Linked DNA regions of Caenorhabditis elegans. The protein of the gene in region 1 interacts with the protein of each later gene in a pairwise test. Each region holds a gene or a part of one and is shown in the gene's direction. Other genes may lie near its edges.

The links. Proteins that work in one complex are often made in the same cells at the same time.
Region 2: the proteins of lgc-22 (region 1) and F53F1.6 interact in a two-hybrid assay, tested with the Caenorhabditis elegans proteins (one large-scale study listed by BioGRID).

What each region holds. Positions count from the first base shown.
Region 1 is NC_003282.8:4,297,225-4,306,275, forward strand, and holds lgc-22 (ShKT domain-containing protein), read left to right. Parts: upstream 1-4,081; 5' UTR 4,082-4,084; coding exon 4,085-4,672; intron 4,673-5,107; coding exon 5,108-5,242; intron 5,243-5,347; coding exon 5,348-5,395; intron 5,396-5,549; coding exon 5,550-5,838; intron 5,839-6,818; coding exon 6,819-7,096; 3' UTR 7,097-7,224; downstream 7,225-9,051. Other genes in the region: F15E6.9 (RING-type domain-containing protein), read right to left, coding at 9-361, 406-533, 1,168-1,271, 1,404-1,472, 1,630-1,848.
Region 2 is NC_003283.11:13,413,490-13,420,687, reverse strand, and holds F53F1.6 (Protein containing ALS2cr12 (ALS2CR12) signature), read left to right. Parts: upstream 1-3,074; 5' UTR 3,075-3,083; coding exon 3,084-3,140; intron 3,141-3,333; coding exon 3,334-3,438; intron 3,439-3,496; coding exon 3,497-3,699; intron 3,700-3,747; coding exon 3,748-3,913; intron 3,914-4,060; coding exon 4,061-4,285; intron 4,286-4,352; coding exon 4,353-4,463; 3' UTR 4,464-4,592; downstream 4,593-7,198. Other genes in the region: srv-8 (Serpentine Receptor, class V), read left to right, coding at 1-101, 207-297, 345-498, 604-716, 775-913, 1,062-1,345, 1,393-1,471; cut-2 (Cuticlin 2), read right to left, coding at 4,752-5,310, 5,500-5,588.

The sequences.
Region 1 (9,051 bases):
TTGCTCACCTTTGACATAATAGTCTGATTAACATGAAGCTGTGAATAATATTCGTTCATAAACTCCTCAACACTCGGAATTCCCGCTTCTCCATCTGGAAGCTTCTCCAAATACTTCCCCACCATTGCTTCTATCGGCTTAGTGATTCCACTTAATTCGTCAAACATAATATGTTTAAAGTGAATATTGTTAATTCCAGATGTTCGTACAGAATACTCAATGAATTTCGACGCAGGTGCCTCTCCTCTCACCATAGTTGTCAGGTATTTTGCTCGTTCCCGATTCACAGGACCATCTATAAAATGGGTCACATTAAAGGGAAGCTCCTGGTGAAAACTTGGGTTACGGTAGAGGAAGAGAGCTGTAAAAATGCAATTCAGAAAAAGCTACATCTAAAAAGTCTACATTTTTCGTTTTGAAGACCTGAGAGTTGGAGGAAAACTTCTGAAAACGATTGGCCTGTGGAAATTGAGTGCTGCCGGAGAAATGATTGGTCGGTAAAGTTGGGATCGAGTATGTATCCGGAACATTCTCTGGAATTGACGAAATTGCGTGCTTGGTTGCCTTCCTCCCTTTTTTTGTTACAAAAAATCTTTCCTGCGTACTTGCCCTTTTCAAAGCGATCTGTCTAAGTCGGCCTAATGCCTATCTACCTACCTTTAAGGCGGTACCTGACTGCCTTTTTATCAATGTGACCTTAAGACAGCCTATGCATGCCTTCCTGCTTACCGGTCTTTAAGGCGTTTTAAGCCTGTTAACCTGCCATGCTTATTTACATTCAGGGCATTCTATGCGCGCCTCCTTACCTTAAATGTTCATGTGCCTGCCTATGTACATGTCAACGCCTTTTCCAGGCAATCTATGCCTGCTTACCTACGTCAAAGGCAGCCTATACCTTTTACAAGGCATCCTTTACTTTTTAGATTTAAACACAATAATTAAGAAACTGGATCCCCCTGTCCTTAATCCCAACAAAACATTATCCAGAAATCATGTCCACCAGCGTATTTCGACAATCATAATCATTTTTTATCCGTCCTCTAAGAGACGTCCTTCATTGCCGCCACTAAACAAAACAATGGTCAATCAGCCCCTCTTTCCAGTCTCCGAACGCCTGTTTCCAACTGGTTTTTGGTTCTCTGTCCTGATCAGCCATCATTATCTCACCCGAGGAAGTGCAAATAGAAGTATGAGGAACTTGAAACCGCTTCTCGACACAGTCTTTCTATCAGGTATAGACTAGAAGCTTCCTCCAAATGCGCCTTTGATCCCTGTAAGATTTTGAATATAGTTTTGACTTAAAACCGCCTATTATCTGCCTATTGCCTGCCTAGTACCTGCCTACTGTCTACCTACTGTCTGCCTACTGCCCGCCTACTGTCTATCTAGGTTTGAAAACTCACCCAACTGAAGTCCTCCACCTGTAAAATCACATGCTTCTCCGATGCAATTGGCTGTAATTTGTTTTCCACCTGAAAACTTCATTTTTTCAAGTGTACTATAATTCTAGCGCATATCCCAGATTGCAACAAAAAGAGGCGTAGCTTAATAGTCCCCACCCACAAATTGGGCGGAGCTTATTGTATGTTTCGTAAATCACAAAGCTGATCACACGTGAGCGGCACTTACCAAATCCAAAACCGCCCGTCTTTCATTCCTGAAATCCTTGTAAGTAGAAACAAGTAGAATTCTCAAAATCTTCCACCCGCCGTGCTCCGCGAGCACATTTTTCGGTGGCTTCTTCCCGTGGCTCGGCACGGGCTCCGACACGGAATTCATGCGCTTCCACAGTTTATCATAGTCTGACCTTTCAAATTGACTACCATCAGTGGACACTTGACAGCCCATTCACCCCAGCTGGAAATAATCGATTTTTTAGGAGGAAACTGGTTCGGCGGACGGGTATAAGAAAAAGGTAGTGTGTTATTGGGTGGAAAGATGTTTGGCAGAAGATTAACGACGGAAATTAGTTTCTGCCAATTGTTTTTTATAGGAAATGTTTTTAGGTTTGGTAGGAATGTAATAATTTTTTTTTAAAATTAATTTTTTCAATTGTTTATTCCATTATTTGTTATTTTTTTGTTTTGCAAAAAATTAAACGAAAATTCAATTTTTTCAGTTTTGGAGGAAATTTTTATTTTAAAAATTGGTTTTTTTACTGGAATTTGAAAACAGTTTTGCCGGAAATTTCAAAAAAAAAACTTTACAAAAATTCTAATGTTCCAAAGTGTTGTGAAGAGTTTTGGCGGAAATTTCAAAATTTATATTTTTAAAACAAAAAATTGGCACTTCGGGATAATTTTGATTTTAAATTATCTAACAATTTTTGGCGGGAATTCAAATTTTGTTTTAATTTTTTTCAAAGTTTAAAAACAATTTAAACTTTAGTTTAAAAAACAATTGGCGGGAAATAAAAAAAACATTTTTAACAAAATATCTTCCGACAAGACAAGAATTTCAAATATCTTTAAAAAATATAATTTGAATTAAATTTCATTTTTCAAAAAAAAGAACCGGAATTTCAAATTTTAAATATCCTTTTAAACATTTTATCCAAAAAAAAAACCGGTCCTCTCTTTCATTTTCAGTCTGGGTTAAAAAAATTATCTATAAAAAATATGTATAATTTTATTCTTCTAAATTGTTAGTTGGAAAACTTTTGATGTCCATAAGCAATTAAGTCATAAATCAAAAACCAGCGAAATTCTAGTTTCTATCTCAAATCCCGATTCCAAAATCAGAAAATCCCATGACAGTCTAATCCCATAACGATTTGATCATTGGAAAGCCCTTTGTCGGTTTTTGCATGTAGGTGTCTTTTCTCCCCCGTCATTATCATTATCTCGGGAACAGGCCCCCACTTTACAACCTTATCATTATCTCAGCAGACCTGTTGCGTCGTCGTCAACGAGATCTGATGAGAAGAAGCTTAAGGCGGTGGCGGCGGCGTGTGGCGGCTAACTAGCCTTCGGACAACCCGTTTGGGGGATGTGAAGCTGGGCGGACGGGTCTCTCTTGCTTTTTTGTCGCGTTTATTGTTTCTTTTTTCGAGTCGTTTGTGGTCATTATCGGCATGTTTCGTACTTTTGATGAAAACCTTGCTTTCCGAGAATCAATTGGTTTTAATTTTCATTAATTTATATTATGTAAATATGGAATTTTTTCAAGTAAACTACTCTCTCCAGTCTTTTTTGCTCATTCAATTTTAATAAGTTGCGGCCGCCGTTTCCCTACTTTCAATCCAAGCAGAGTTCCTCTAAGGCCCCTCCACTTGATTACACATATCGGTTAAATTTTTAATTTTTGTAAGTTTTTGATTGAAGTAATACTTTTTAAACAAAACTAAACCCAAACGAGATATAAGCTGTAAAAAAAAAAGAAATAAGAAAATCCGATAACAGAAACAAAAATTGTTTGTAAACATTTTCGTTCTGCATAACTAATTGAAAGTGAAGTTTTTTTTTCAATAATTTTCAAATCTATGAATAATCTTCAAAACGTTCACTAAGGCTTATCAAATCACCTGTGACGGCACAAAGGAGCTTTCTGTAGTTATAAAGAGATGGCCAAAGAGCCACACGTGAACTCACAAAACGAAACCTCTCATTGGCCGAAAAAGTTTTTAGGACGTCACCATTTTGAATTTTCTAGGCTCCCTGTAACATCATAATTGTAACCTATAGGACTAGCAGGTGACCGTGGCCGAGTTATTTTCAGGCCGAATGGCTTTGACCGAAGCAATTTCTAAGCTCACTGTCATCATTATATCTTCATCAATTTATTTTTAAAATGGTCAATTCAATTGATCATGTCAAAAAAGGTCGCCGTTCTTACACAAAGTCATATGGGGTAAAAACAGAAAAAAAACCAAAAAAAAGTTGAAAATCGACCATTTCAAATCTAGTTTACACAACAAAAAAAGAAGATACAAACGACGAAACCGGGGCGGTTCGTATTCCATTCCTCTCGTTACCCTTGACTACCACTTAATTATTGATGATCACTTTTCTTTTCAGTTGCCTTCTTTTTTTTTCAACCATTCTTTCAAGTCCGTTATACTCTTCAATACTTAAATACTTCCAGAATGCTTCGGCTTCTCATTGCCACGTCACTGGCCGCCACGTTAGCGTGGGCGGCGGGCACCGCCGGCGGCTGCGAGGACGCGGACCCCAAATGCACCGAATGGGCGGCCACCGGGGAATGTGCTACCAATGCGGTCTGGATGATGGCAAACTGTAGGAAATCTTGTCATTCCTGTCAGGGAGGAGACAGGGCCTGGAAGCTCAGGACCCATATCCAGACCACTTACCAAAATGCGACTGATAACAAGACGAAGGTGGTGAGAGTTGAGAGCGTCCGAATCAACAATGTCGAGATTGACGAACGTCGGCAGAATGTGAAGGTGTTTGGCAGATTCGTGCTCAGCTGGAACGACACTATGGTCTCTTGGGATAAGGAACAGTGGGGGCTCAGTTGGTTGAACTTCTACTGGATTCAAATTTGGACCCCAAATATTGTGCAGATCAACGGTGGCTCTACATCAAACCCTGGACAGGTGACATCAAAAGTTTTGGCTGCAAATTACACCGGACAGATCTACTTATGGTCGGATTTCTCATTCACTACACCGTTCAGATTCCAGTATGAAGACTATCCAAATGATATGCAGAGGGTGGGTAGATTTTATTATCAATGTTTTAAGAATCAATTTGCCGTTTGGCTTGAAAAAATTTAGAAACACGTACAAAACTATAGAAAAATACTGGTTTACAACATTCTGTCAGTTGGCAATTTTTGATGGAATATGCCAGATATCTTTTGAGAAACTTGAACAATTCGGTGCAAAATTTTTGAACATGGTGCATCGACCCAAATTTTATATCTTTTATCTCTATTTATTTCAAAATTATAGGGGTTAGAAAGCTGAAAAAGTATTAACCCAGTGACTAATTCGTAGGTAACACCTTGTTTGAAAACATGATTCACCGATTACTTATTAATGTAAAATTTTGAATAAAGTTTTTGAGATTTTAAAATTTGAATTTAAGTGTATAGAATCTTGTTTGACAAAGTAACCTTTTTTGAATTTTCAAATTTTCAAATTCAGGTTTGCTATAAATTCGACGACAAACGTCTTATGGCAGTACACTTCACAGTTGCAGAGGGTGTTAAGAATAAGGAAAGAGAAGCCACCACTGATCCATTCGTGTCTGGATGGAAGATTGAAGACGTTGAAGTTGTGGTGAGTTTTTGAGATACTTTGGAAACTTGCAGAAGTTATAGCATTTTTTCAAACCAAATTTTTTGTGTGTTTTTTTTTTAATTGAAATTAAAATTTTCTTTAAAGTCAATTACCCACTCTCCGGATAACGGAGGCACTGGAAAAAATGGATTGGCAAGTTTTGTGTGATGCTTCTCATTTCACAGCTTCTTGTAAATATAGTACAGAGCTTTCGCTTAATTTAACCGCAATATTTATCAATTTTTAATTCAGAGCTTCAGCTTCTACCTAACAGTCTCAATTTTCACCATTTTCAATGTTTTTTCAGGAATCCCCATACACCGTGGAGCAGCTCTCGGATCCTCGTCGTAATCCCTTCGATGTCCAAGCTGACAACGGTGAGCTCTGTATTTCGCTGAGAAGAAATGCGGTATATTTCACCGCCGAAATGTTGCTCCCAGCTCTGATCACCTCTCTATTCACGCTGGCCGCTGTGTTCTTCCAACTTTCTAAGACCCAGCCGATTCTTTTGGGATTCTCGGTAGTTGCACAGATTTTGTCACTTATTTTAGTGTCTCAGAGACTTCCATCGTTCACTGCACATACTCCAACTATTTGTAAGTTTATTTCTGTGCCAAGAAAGCTAATATGTGAGCGGATTTGCGTCAAAATCATTTGAAAATTAAAAAAAATTATTTTTGAACAAAAGTTAATTGCATATCGCTTCATTTTATTTTTCGGAAAAAACTACATTTCAGTTTTGCGCCAATTTAAATTGAAAGACTAAAAATTAAATTGTTAGCAATAATTTAAAATTTTATTATTTTTCGTAAAATTTTTTCCTTATAAAACTTTTTAATATTTTCAAATATTTTTAATTTTGGCCACTTCTAATTTAAACTCTGAAAAGTTTAGCTTGATCAAAAAAAGTTAACCTTAGTTTTTGAAAAAATTTCAAAATTTTCAGAAATTTTTCGAAATAATTCCCAAAAAATTCAAACATTTTCATACTCGAATATGTTAGGCTTTTCGTTGTTAAAACTGCCAATATGTGGACGGACGGAGTCGCATCAAAAATATCAAAAAAATTTTGAAATCGATTTTAAATAATTTTCAATCATTTGAAATTGGAATTTGCCGCCAGATTTATTTGAAAAATCGCATCTCGCCTCAATGTTTTTTTTTTTGGAAAAATTAAACGTTTTTTTTTTTTATATTTCAATTTGGTTTTATTTTTTAAATTTTTGGAAAAATTAAATTTCAATTTTGCACCAAATTAATTTGAACATTTTAAAGTTTGTCAAATACTTTTGGCTGAATTGTAAATGTTTTGAAATTAAAAAAAAACACCTCGAATTCAACACTTTTGGGAAGTTTAGCTAGATCAAAAAATTAAAAGCATTATTTTTTTATTTTACAGAACCAAGTTGTAAAAAATGATCAAAAGACTGCTAAAATTCAAAAAAAAATAATAAAAATTTTCCAATAACTTCCAAAACTTCAAATCGCTCTGAAATTATTGATATAAATTTTTTGCAAAATCTCAGAAAATTTTCGAAATTTTTCTCAAAGCTTCCGAAATTTCAAAATTTTTCAGTGAAATACGCCGGCTTCAACATGACGTGGACAGCGATCCTCTTCGTAATTTCCCTAGTTCTCGAGAGAATGGCAACTTCACAAGTAGACATCCCACCCCCACATGGAGTCTCCACATTTGCCGGGCTCGTGAACAAGTTCCTTCCAATTCCGAAGAACTCAAAACACGAAGATTCAACTCTCCAATACGCTGCATTTGCTCATGCTCTGAACCACGTCATCTTCGCTTTATCCACTGTTCTCTACTTTATCGTTATATTGTTCTCTTTTGTTTTTTAAATTTTAGTTTTCTTTTTGCAATATTTTTTGTAAAAATTAGTTGTTCTTGCTCAGTTTCTCTTGACACTAATAATTTCGCCATATCGAAAATCATGTATAATAAAGACATTTTTAATGAAACATTGATTCTAGCAATACTTCAATTCAGACCAAATTCTAACTTTTGTTTTCTAAATTTTGGTGGGAAGTACTTAAGTTTCGTTTCGACGACCTTTCGATCATGAAACTTCTGCCCGGCAAGGTGATTCTGGAGTGAGCGGAACAGATGGTAGTCAGTAGGAGCCAAGCCCGGCGAATACGATGGGTAAGACAAAATTTGGATTCCGACTGTCTGGAGCTTCTGGCGGGTCTTAGAAGTTGTATGCGGTCTTGCGTTGTCATGGAGCAGCAACAACTTTGATCCTCTAGGGCGATGTAATCGATGAGCATGGACCACCTCTTCCAATTAAATGCAGTATAGGCCAGCGTTGATTGTAGCAAAGTCTGGAAGAAGCTCTCTGGAAATGACACCCTTACTGTCCCGCCCAATTGAGAGAAGCACTTTTTTCCGTGAAGTTCTCATTTGAGGTCAGGTGTCGCGGTTTCCTCGACCGGGACCCACTCTTTTTTCCTGGTATGGCTAACATACAATACCCATTTATCATTTCCAGTAATGATATCCTTAACCCAGTCCGTTGTTCGTTTCCTAGTGAGCAGCGAAAGAGAGAGGTCACAAAGCAATTTTTCTGAGAATCGGACAATTTGTGAGGAACGAGTTGACCGAACTTTTCTATCTTTCCGGTTTTTTGGAGATGGTTGATGATGGTTTTTTGGGGATGCTTGAAAGTCGCAGAAAGTTCGCGTGACGTTGCTCTTGAATCATCTTCCAGGGCTCTCGAAATATCCTCATCGATATCCGAACGAGAGCTATCTTATCTTGGTTTATCATCGAGATCGTAGTTCTTTTTCGTGAACTTTTCGAACCAAAACTTCATGGTATTGTAGGTGACAGAGTTCTTGCCTAACACTGCACACATGTTACGACGAGCTTCGTTGCAATTGCAGCTTTGGGGGAACTCGTACAGAAAAACCCCTCGGAGGGCGTGACGTTCGGCGAGCAAATTCTCGGTCATTTTGAACAGCACCCAAAAGTTTTTTCAAATGTATTAAACATGCTCATTACGTACTATACAAATAACAAAAACGGAATCAGAAAAAAATGAATTAACGCTGAGAAATGAAGAAAAGCACAAATTTTGCAAAGACTTTTTGCTCAACCTAATATAAAGCGCGTGTCCTTCCGTCCGTTTGTAGTTTGTAGTTTGATCTTTGATCTTTCAACTCTCTATTCTGTAGTTGGAAGTTGTATTGGGTTGGGAGTTGGTGATGGATAATGCCAAGCTACTGTAGTAGTACTGTAGGAGTACTGTAGGTATACGGTAGGGTTACTGTAGTTTAGGAAAAATTGAGTTTTTGTCTACAGAAGAGGTATTGGGTTGGGAGTTGGTGGGAGATAATGCCAAGCTACTGTAGTGGTACTGTAGGAGTACTGTAGGTATACGGTAGGGTTACCGTAGTTTAGGAAAAATTGAGTTTTTGTCTACAGAAGAGGTATTGGGTTGGGAGTTGGTGGGAGATAATGCCAAGCTACTGTAGTGGTACTGTAGGAGTACTGTAGGTATACGGTAGGGTTACCGTAGTTTAGGAAAAATTGAGTTTTTGTCTACAGAAGAGGTATTGGGTTGGGAGTTGGTGGGGTTAATATTGCGAGTGTAGGCGTTTTCTACTTATAAACATTTTCACAGTAAATGTTCAAATGTTTCCAAAAATCATCAAGAACGTTTTTGAAATTTTGGAGAAATTTTGAAGTTTGTGGAATTTTTTGAAAGCTTGATAATTTATTTCGAATTTTTTTCTCTCTCCCGGTACATTGTCACCAAAAGATGCAAAATTCCTAATTTTATAAAAAATTCAGG
Region 2 (7,198 bases), on another chromosome or scaffold:
AGCTTCATTGACTGTTTTATTTGCAATTACTGTTATTTCATTTGCAGTTTATTTTGTAGAAATACAAATTTTATTCACTTCGAGGAATTCTACTTTCAAAGGTCAGAGAAGATAATATTATTGGTTTTAGGAATTCAAAAAACGTTTAAAAATCCAAGAACTAATTCAAAACAGCACAAATTTCTCTGAAATAAAAAATGTTTCAGGCCCATTCTACCGTCTTATGTTCATTGGAATTCTTGTTGACATGATATCTGCCGTAAATCTTTTTGCGTTACAAATCCTGCCAGCTAGACAGTAACCGTATTCCACATATCTTCTAACCAAAACCCTCACATTTCCAGATGGTTAGCATTATTTTATTTTCCGAATGAAAGCTGGCTCGGTGCAATTTTCTATGCAATTTCGTATGGAGGTCGTTGTGTCCAAGGAGCAACCGCTTCAATACTATCATTTTGTCGTGTTTGTGCGGTTTGCTTCCCATTGTTTTATCAAAAGGTAGATTCATGATGATTCATAAACCGATAGTGCTTATAAACCAGTTCCCCAGTTTTGAAAATTCCTGAAGTCAGCTTCATGACTCATCGTCTTATCAGTTTTCAGCTGAGTTATCCAAAATACACGTACACAATGCAAGCCATCCAACTCTCAGGAGCAGTTGCATCAGTGTTTCTCTTGCTCCCACGCGAGTACAAGTATGTGAATGAGAACGGAGGGTATGTGTGACACTTGTTTAACCTCAGAACACATTTTTTGTTTGCATTTAAACTTCAGATATTACTCGGCATTTGTTAACAACGAGTTCAGGAAACCATTTTTCAATTTTGTGGCGGTACTCGAAATTCTTTTTGTTTTGGCAATTGTTGTGAACAATTTGGTCACTTATATAACGTATAGATTTAAACTCAAAAAAGTGGGTTCAAAATATAAGAAAGAAGCATGAAAATGAAATGTGGATAGTGAAACATCGGCATGATCTTACAAAAACATAGAAAACAAAACTTGTACTCTATTAAAAAAAAAACAAAAAAAATTGTATAAATCTTGACTGCTACTTTCAGAAAGTGTTGTCAAGACGCACTTCGGTGGCCGGATCCAAATATCTTGACAGTAGAGAAAAACAGAAAAAAGAGAGCAGCCTGGACAAAATGACCGCTATAGTTTGTAGTCTCGAACTTATTTATTTTGCATTTGTTGTGTACTCTCTCCAAATAAATCAAACGATGAACAAGAGAGTTTTCTATTTTCTCTATAATATTCTTTGTGTCATCTATTCAACCTATTCAGCGTGGATGTTACTTTTGTTTTCAAGACCAATAACTGTGCAGTTTAAGCAGAGATTTTTGTACGCTTTACACTATAATTCCCAAAAAAAAACAATATGTATTTCAGAAGGCTTAGCTCAAAACGATCAACTCGTTCTATTTCAATTTCAGTCCAAGGAGGCAGCCGGGAAAATAACAACAAATGAAAAGAAATCAAATTCAATTGACTTTTTTGTTGAATGCTTGTCGGCTCTTATCTTTTTAGAAATAATGATAACTTTTTCATGCATTATTGAACGGGATCTTATAGTTGAATTGAGAAACACTCGATTTCGTGATACTACAAAACACAGTTATTTTCTTTTCAACAGTTATTTTCTACAACAGTTATTTTCTTTTCAAAATATCACAACAAAAGTTACATGAGTGTTTTTGAAAATTTATCAGTACAATGAAACCTTCAAAAACATCAGTATAAGTTTCCTCAATCAAATGTCAATGAGAAAAAAGTGGGAAGAAACCCTCATTAATTACTCGTACGATGGCTGTCCTGTGTGATACGTAAAGAAAGAGCACAGAACACGAGCGATGAGTCATTTTCTCAACTGGCTCAATTCAGCTTCCCGCCGCCCATTTAGGAACTGATTGTAAAGTTTTACGTATATAAAAATAACGATTCAACCCAGTGTGAATAACTTTTTTTTTCAAATTTCACTCGATATTAGAGTAATTTTTATCGCGTAAGATCTCACAGTTTTTTCATCTTTTGAAATCCCGTATCCTTGCACTATTTTCATTGTTGATATGGATTTTTTACATTTTAAATTTTTTTTTAATTTCCGTTATTTACAACGTGTGTTATACAAGAGACACATAGATCTTTAAAAATAGTAGAAAATGTAGAAGTGTAAATCTTGCAAGCAGGGAACATTTTGTAAACTAGGTATATTTTTGGTGATTTCCCTGAAGCTGTCAAGTGTCAAATACGACGCAGATAAAAAACATCCGCAATCAAGTCAGATGGTTTTTTGATGATCATTTCCCGAAATAGACCAGTGACCATGATTCTTTAAAAGATCTTCAACTCAATAGAGAGCAAACTATACACATTGTAGCTGGCCTATCACTTTGGGAACAAACTGGTGTCTAACTTCTCAACCGCCTCTATGTTCGCAGAGATTTTTATTTGGTGTTTGCAAAAATGTATATTCAATCCAATTAGAAATCAAAAAAAAATCAATTCAATGTTTAAATAACTTTCCTATCACAAAAATGATTGTTCCGACAACCGCTAAAAATGTGATAGTTGTATTCTACGCTTTATCATTCATCAATACTTCTCTTCACTTTTTCCGATTAGTTTTTTTTCCACTTGAAGCAATGATTTTTCAAAACTTGTTAGTGATTATTTTTAATTCGGGAGGAAACTATTACCACCATAGTGTACATTTGTGTTGAAAACCTAAGTACTTAAAGACGGTCCCTTGTAGGATTATTGTATTGTTTTGAATAAAGATTAACATTACATCTAGTTTTACGAGGCGTTAGCCCCAAATTCTAAATCAAATATCAAAAGACATCGTCGACTGAATCGTCGTTTTAAGACATTTTCCAAGTCTTGTCCAAGTTCAATGTTCAAGTTTAAATTTAATGTGTGTTAAACTCTGATCGCATATAATATTCTTTCAAGTGCTTTCAACTGATTACTGTTTTTATCTGAAAAACACAAGGCAAAAATTATAGTAAACGTACTCTATTTTTAAACAAATTTAAATCCTTGTAACTGTAATCAATATCAACTTGAATTCCAGTGAAGGAATGGAAGAATTAAATAAATACAAACAAGAGATCAAGGATAATGCATTGAAGGAACTGGTGAGCTTTTCGTTTGATTAATTTATTAATAGAAACAGTTAGAAAATTTCAATTGATTTATAGTTTTGAAAGTAAACAGAGGCGCCATATGAAAGTCTATTTCATAAAGAGCATTAATAAGCAGTTGTACAAATTTATTAGATTTTGAATATAATTTTTAAAAACGTTTAATTTTTTAAAACATTTCTTAAAGGATTCGACAAAGAAAAAAATTAACGAGGAGAAAAAACACTGGGGTGATTTACCATTAACGTACATGCCAATTTCCAATGGAACAATGACTAGAGAGTACGCAGAGGTACAATTTATAATTTTAGAAAATCAGTCCACCCACCTTAAAATGATTAATATTCCAGACTGAACAATTTTATAGTCACGTTGTCAACGTAAAAAATATACTCGATAGTTTGTTCGAAGAAGTAGAGAACGATATCAAACGGCTTGATGCAATTTTCTGCTTCAATGAATACACCGTATACGGACAAGAGGACATAGAACAAATTAAAGAAAATATAAAAAATGAATATAAAACATCGGTTGCCCATTTCAGCAAGCTATGGTGAATTTTTAATTTTTCAAAACAATTTAGTAGTTTCTTAATATTCAGGGAAGATATCAAAGCAATGAGCGTTCTTCTTCGTTCATGTTTCAATAAAACATGGGACCGTCATTCCGAAGTGACTCTCCTTGTAAATCTTCTGATTGCCATACTGTATCGATTATTAGTTCCGTTGCAGACTGTGATCCAAACCCTTGATGAATCCATTAAACACGTTAGTCTATATCTTTGAAGTAGTAAACCACACAAAAAATAAACAAAAAAATTGATTCAAATCAAAATTTCAGTCAGTCAAAGCCCAGAAATAGTATGTGGCACTTTTAAACTTAAAAATCTTTAATCAATTAGTTATTTTTTGCAGAGAGGTGGCCCTAATTATGACAAGAACAATGACAATTTCTTCCTCTTGAGAGAATGTGGATCCGCTTTAAGAGAGTGTAACACTCAAATTAAAATGGACGAAAAAAATTTAATCATTCGGATAATAAACACAAAAGATTTAGAAGGAGGCTTTAAAAAAAGCTTAGAAACTCTATTGAATGAAAATGAAAGTGCGAATTTTATCAAGTTACTCGCAGAATACCTGGTCAGTTTGAATGCTTCAATAGGGAATTCTTATGTTGTGATCGACTTTTTGAAATTGTAACTTTCAGGAAGGAGTCAATTTAAATGTGGATGTACAAGTGCTGAAAGAGAATTTCTTCATATTTGCCCAAGGAATCAAACAATTTTATCTCAACAATGTCGAGACACTTAAAGATTGAACAATGGACTCAAAATTGTTTTCAAAATACCTTAACTTATTTTTCACAGTTAGACTTTCGAAGTCTTTGTTTAATTTTGTTCAACTTGCCAGATTCCAATGTTCAGAAATAAAAAGTTTACGAAAAAAACATATGCTTTTCTTGCAGTCAGAGAGCAGTGTTTGAGACCAAAATTTCATTTCGAGAATTGGGTCAAAACAATTGACTTGATATACAGGTAAAGGAAGATTCAACAATTGATAACAACGAATAAATAAAAGGAGATATATCTAAACGTTATTAGATCGTCTAGTTCTTCTTGTGTCCAGCGTAGGCTCCTCCGGCTGGGGCAGCAGCCTGATATCCTCCGGCGGCTGGAGCGGCTTCAACGGCAGCTGGGGCAGATGCTTGGTATCCTCCGGCTGGGGCAGCTCCTCCGAGTGGGGCAGATTCAACAGCGGCTTGTCCGGCCTGGTAAGCTCCTCCGACGGCTGGGGCGGCTCCTCCGAAAGCTGGTCCAGATTGGTAGGCTCCTCCGGCTGGGGCGGCTCCTCCGAAAGCTGGCCCGGATTGGTAAGCTCCTCCAACTGGGGCGGCTCCTACGAAAGCTGGGGCGGCTTGGTAAGCTCCTCCGATTGGGGCGGCTCCTCCGAAAGCTGGTCCGGTAGCGTATCCTCCGACTGGAGCAGCTGGGGCGGTGGCATATCCTCCTGCTGGGGCAGCGATTGGGGCAGCGGCGCATGGAGCTGGTCCTCCGCATCCTCCTCCGAGGGATGGAAGAGAAAGTCTTGGGAGCTCAAAGCGTGGGAGTTGGAGTGGTGGAAGAGCTGGTGCTCCGCATCCGCATGGTGGTGGTGGTGGTGGTGGACTGGAAAAGAAAATTTGAAGTTGAATCATGAAATTAAGTTTTGATTTCTGCAGTTTTACTATTAGAGGAATCGACAATGAATGGCTTTTACTAAAGATAAATCTCAGGAACCAGAAAAATAAAATAGGTGAAGAATATAAAAAAAAATCTGGAATTTAATAAAATAAATCAATAAAATCAAAAACTTACGCGCATCCACATCCTCCACCTCCTCCAGATGGAAGAAGGAAAGCCTGAGCGGCGGCGATGGTTGTGAAGAAAACGATGAGCTTCTGCATGTTTAATAGAAGTGTTAGAACCAAATGAATTGGATGACTTTTACCGATTGGCCCGTCGCTTAAAAAGGGTGAAGCATGTGGGCGGGGCTTTTCGAATAAAATGCCAAAGGAGCCTGCCTTTCAGGCGAGAGGAAGGTATTGGTCAAAACCAGAAATTGCGACATTGAGGGAAATCTGACGTACGGCACGGTGGGACATGAGGGACGCGCGGAAAAGGACAATTGATATGACGAGTTCTGCAACGAAAAGTGTTTCTCTCTTTCTCTTCACCTCATGCCAGACAACGGCAGATCATGGATTCGGATAATAGATATAAGGAAGGTGAGACAACCAGCGGCATTGATGGGGCGAAAAAGCGAAATTAGGATTATCAGGATTTTACGGTGAGACGATGGGAATAGATGCGTGAAATGAGGCATGCAATAATACATATGCAAAAGTCCAAGGTTTGCCAAAAAATCGTTTGACGAAACTTTGAAACTGTTCTTTACAGGACTAGAAGCTAGATAGATTTGAAACGCATTAAGGTTTTGTTATCTTGAAATTAGCATAACTTAATTTTTTTTACAAGTTTCATGAAAAACTATCTCGAATACCCAATGTTTCAGATTTTTAGGCACTTTATTTTTTAAAAGGCATTGATTTTATTGGGAAGTCCAAAATAGAGATGCGTTTTTTTGCGGATTACGTCTCTGATCGTTTAAATTTTTAAATTTAAGTTTCTAACACTTTGTTATCATCATTCAGTTTCACATTTTTCGGAAGATTCAGAGATTAAGATTCGGTTATGATTTACGTATACCATTAAAAACTTAGCATTAAAAACTTGATCTACACAAGTTTCCAGTTTTCAATTTGCTAATTTAAAAAAGGTATGCCTGATCAGAAAACTTAGTTTTCAATATTTCGAAAATTTGTTTTGCAAAAGTTAAGTCGAATTACTTAAATGCTTTTTTCAATCATAACATAATCATGCAAATCAATATGTATTTTACGACCTCAGGAGTTTCGGCAACCCAGATAGGCAAATTTTTAAACCTATCATAATTTGGAAGCACATTCAAATTAGAATGTGCTGAAACATGCCAGTTTGCTACATTTTCCCAAGGCTAGCCTAAAAGATGACACACATATTTTAAAATATATCCATTTCTTTTTTCTATTTTTTTGGGAAAATTAAGCGGGGCGATATACTACTGAAAGATTTGGTTATCATGTGCACAAGACCTTATCATGACTCGGTATAACATTGGAGTTTTTCAGAGTCAGATTTCTTGTTGTCTTTTTTTTTTAATTCAATAATATCTTTAGATTCCAGTAACGGCGAATTATTCACCAAAATTTACACAATCAGCTTCTCGTTTCTGAGTTACCTTATGTTGCATAACATTCCTAGTGAAAAAATCGTTTCCTGTCACTTTCATCATTCCTCCATTCCTTACTAATGCGTCACGATGCCCTTTGTGATGAAGCTTCAGTACCCGATACGAACCAGACGATTGTTGCGTTTAAGTTGATGCGCAGTGACCTCGATGGAAGAAGCTTCTCCATTTCTCTTCATATCTTTCGAAATGATTGGCCGAAATACGATAAGAATCGGTGGCATATCT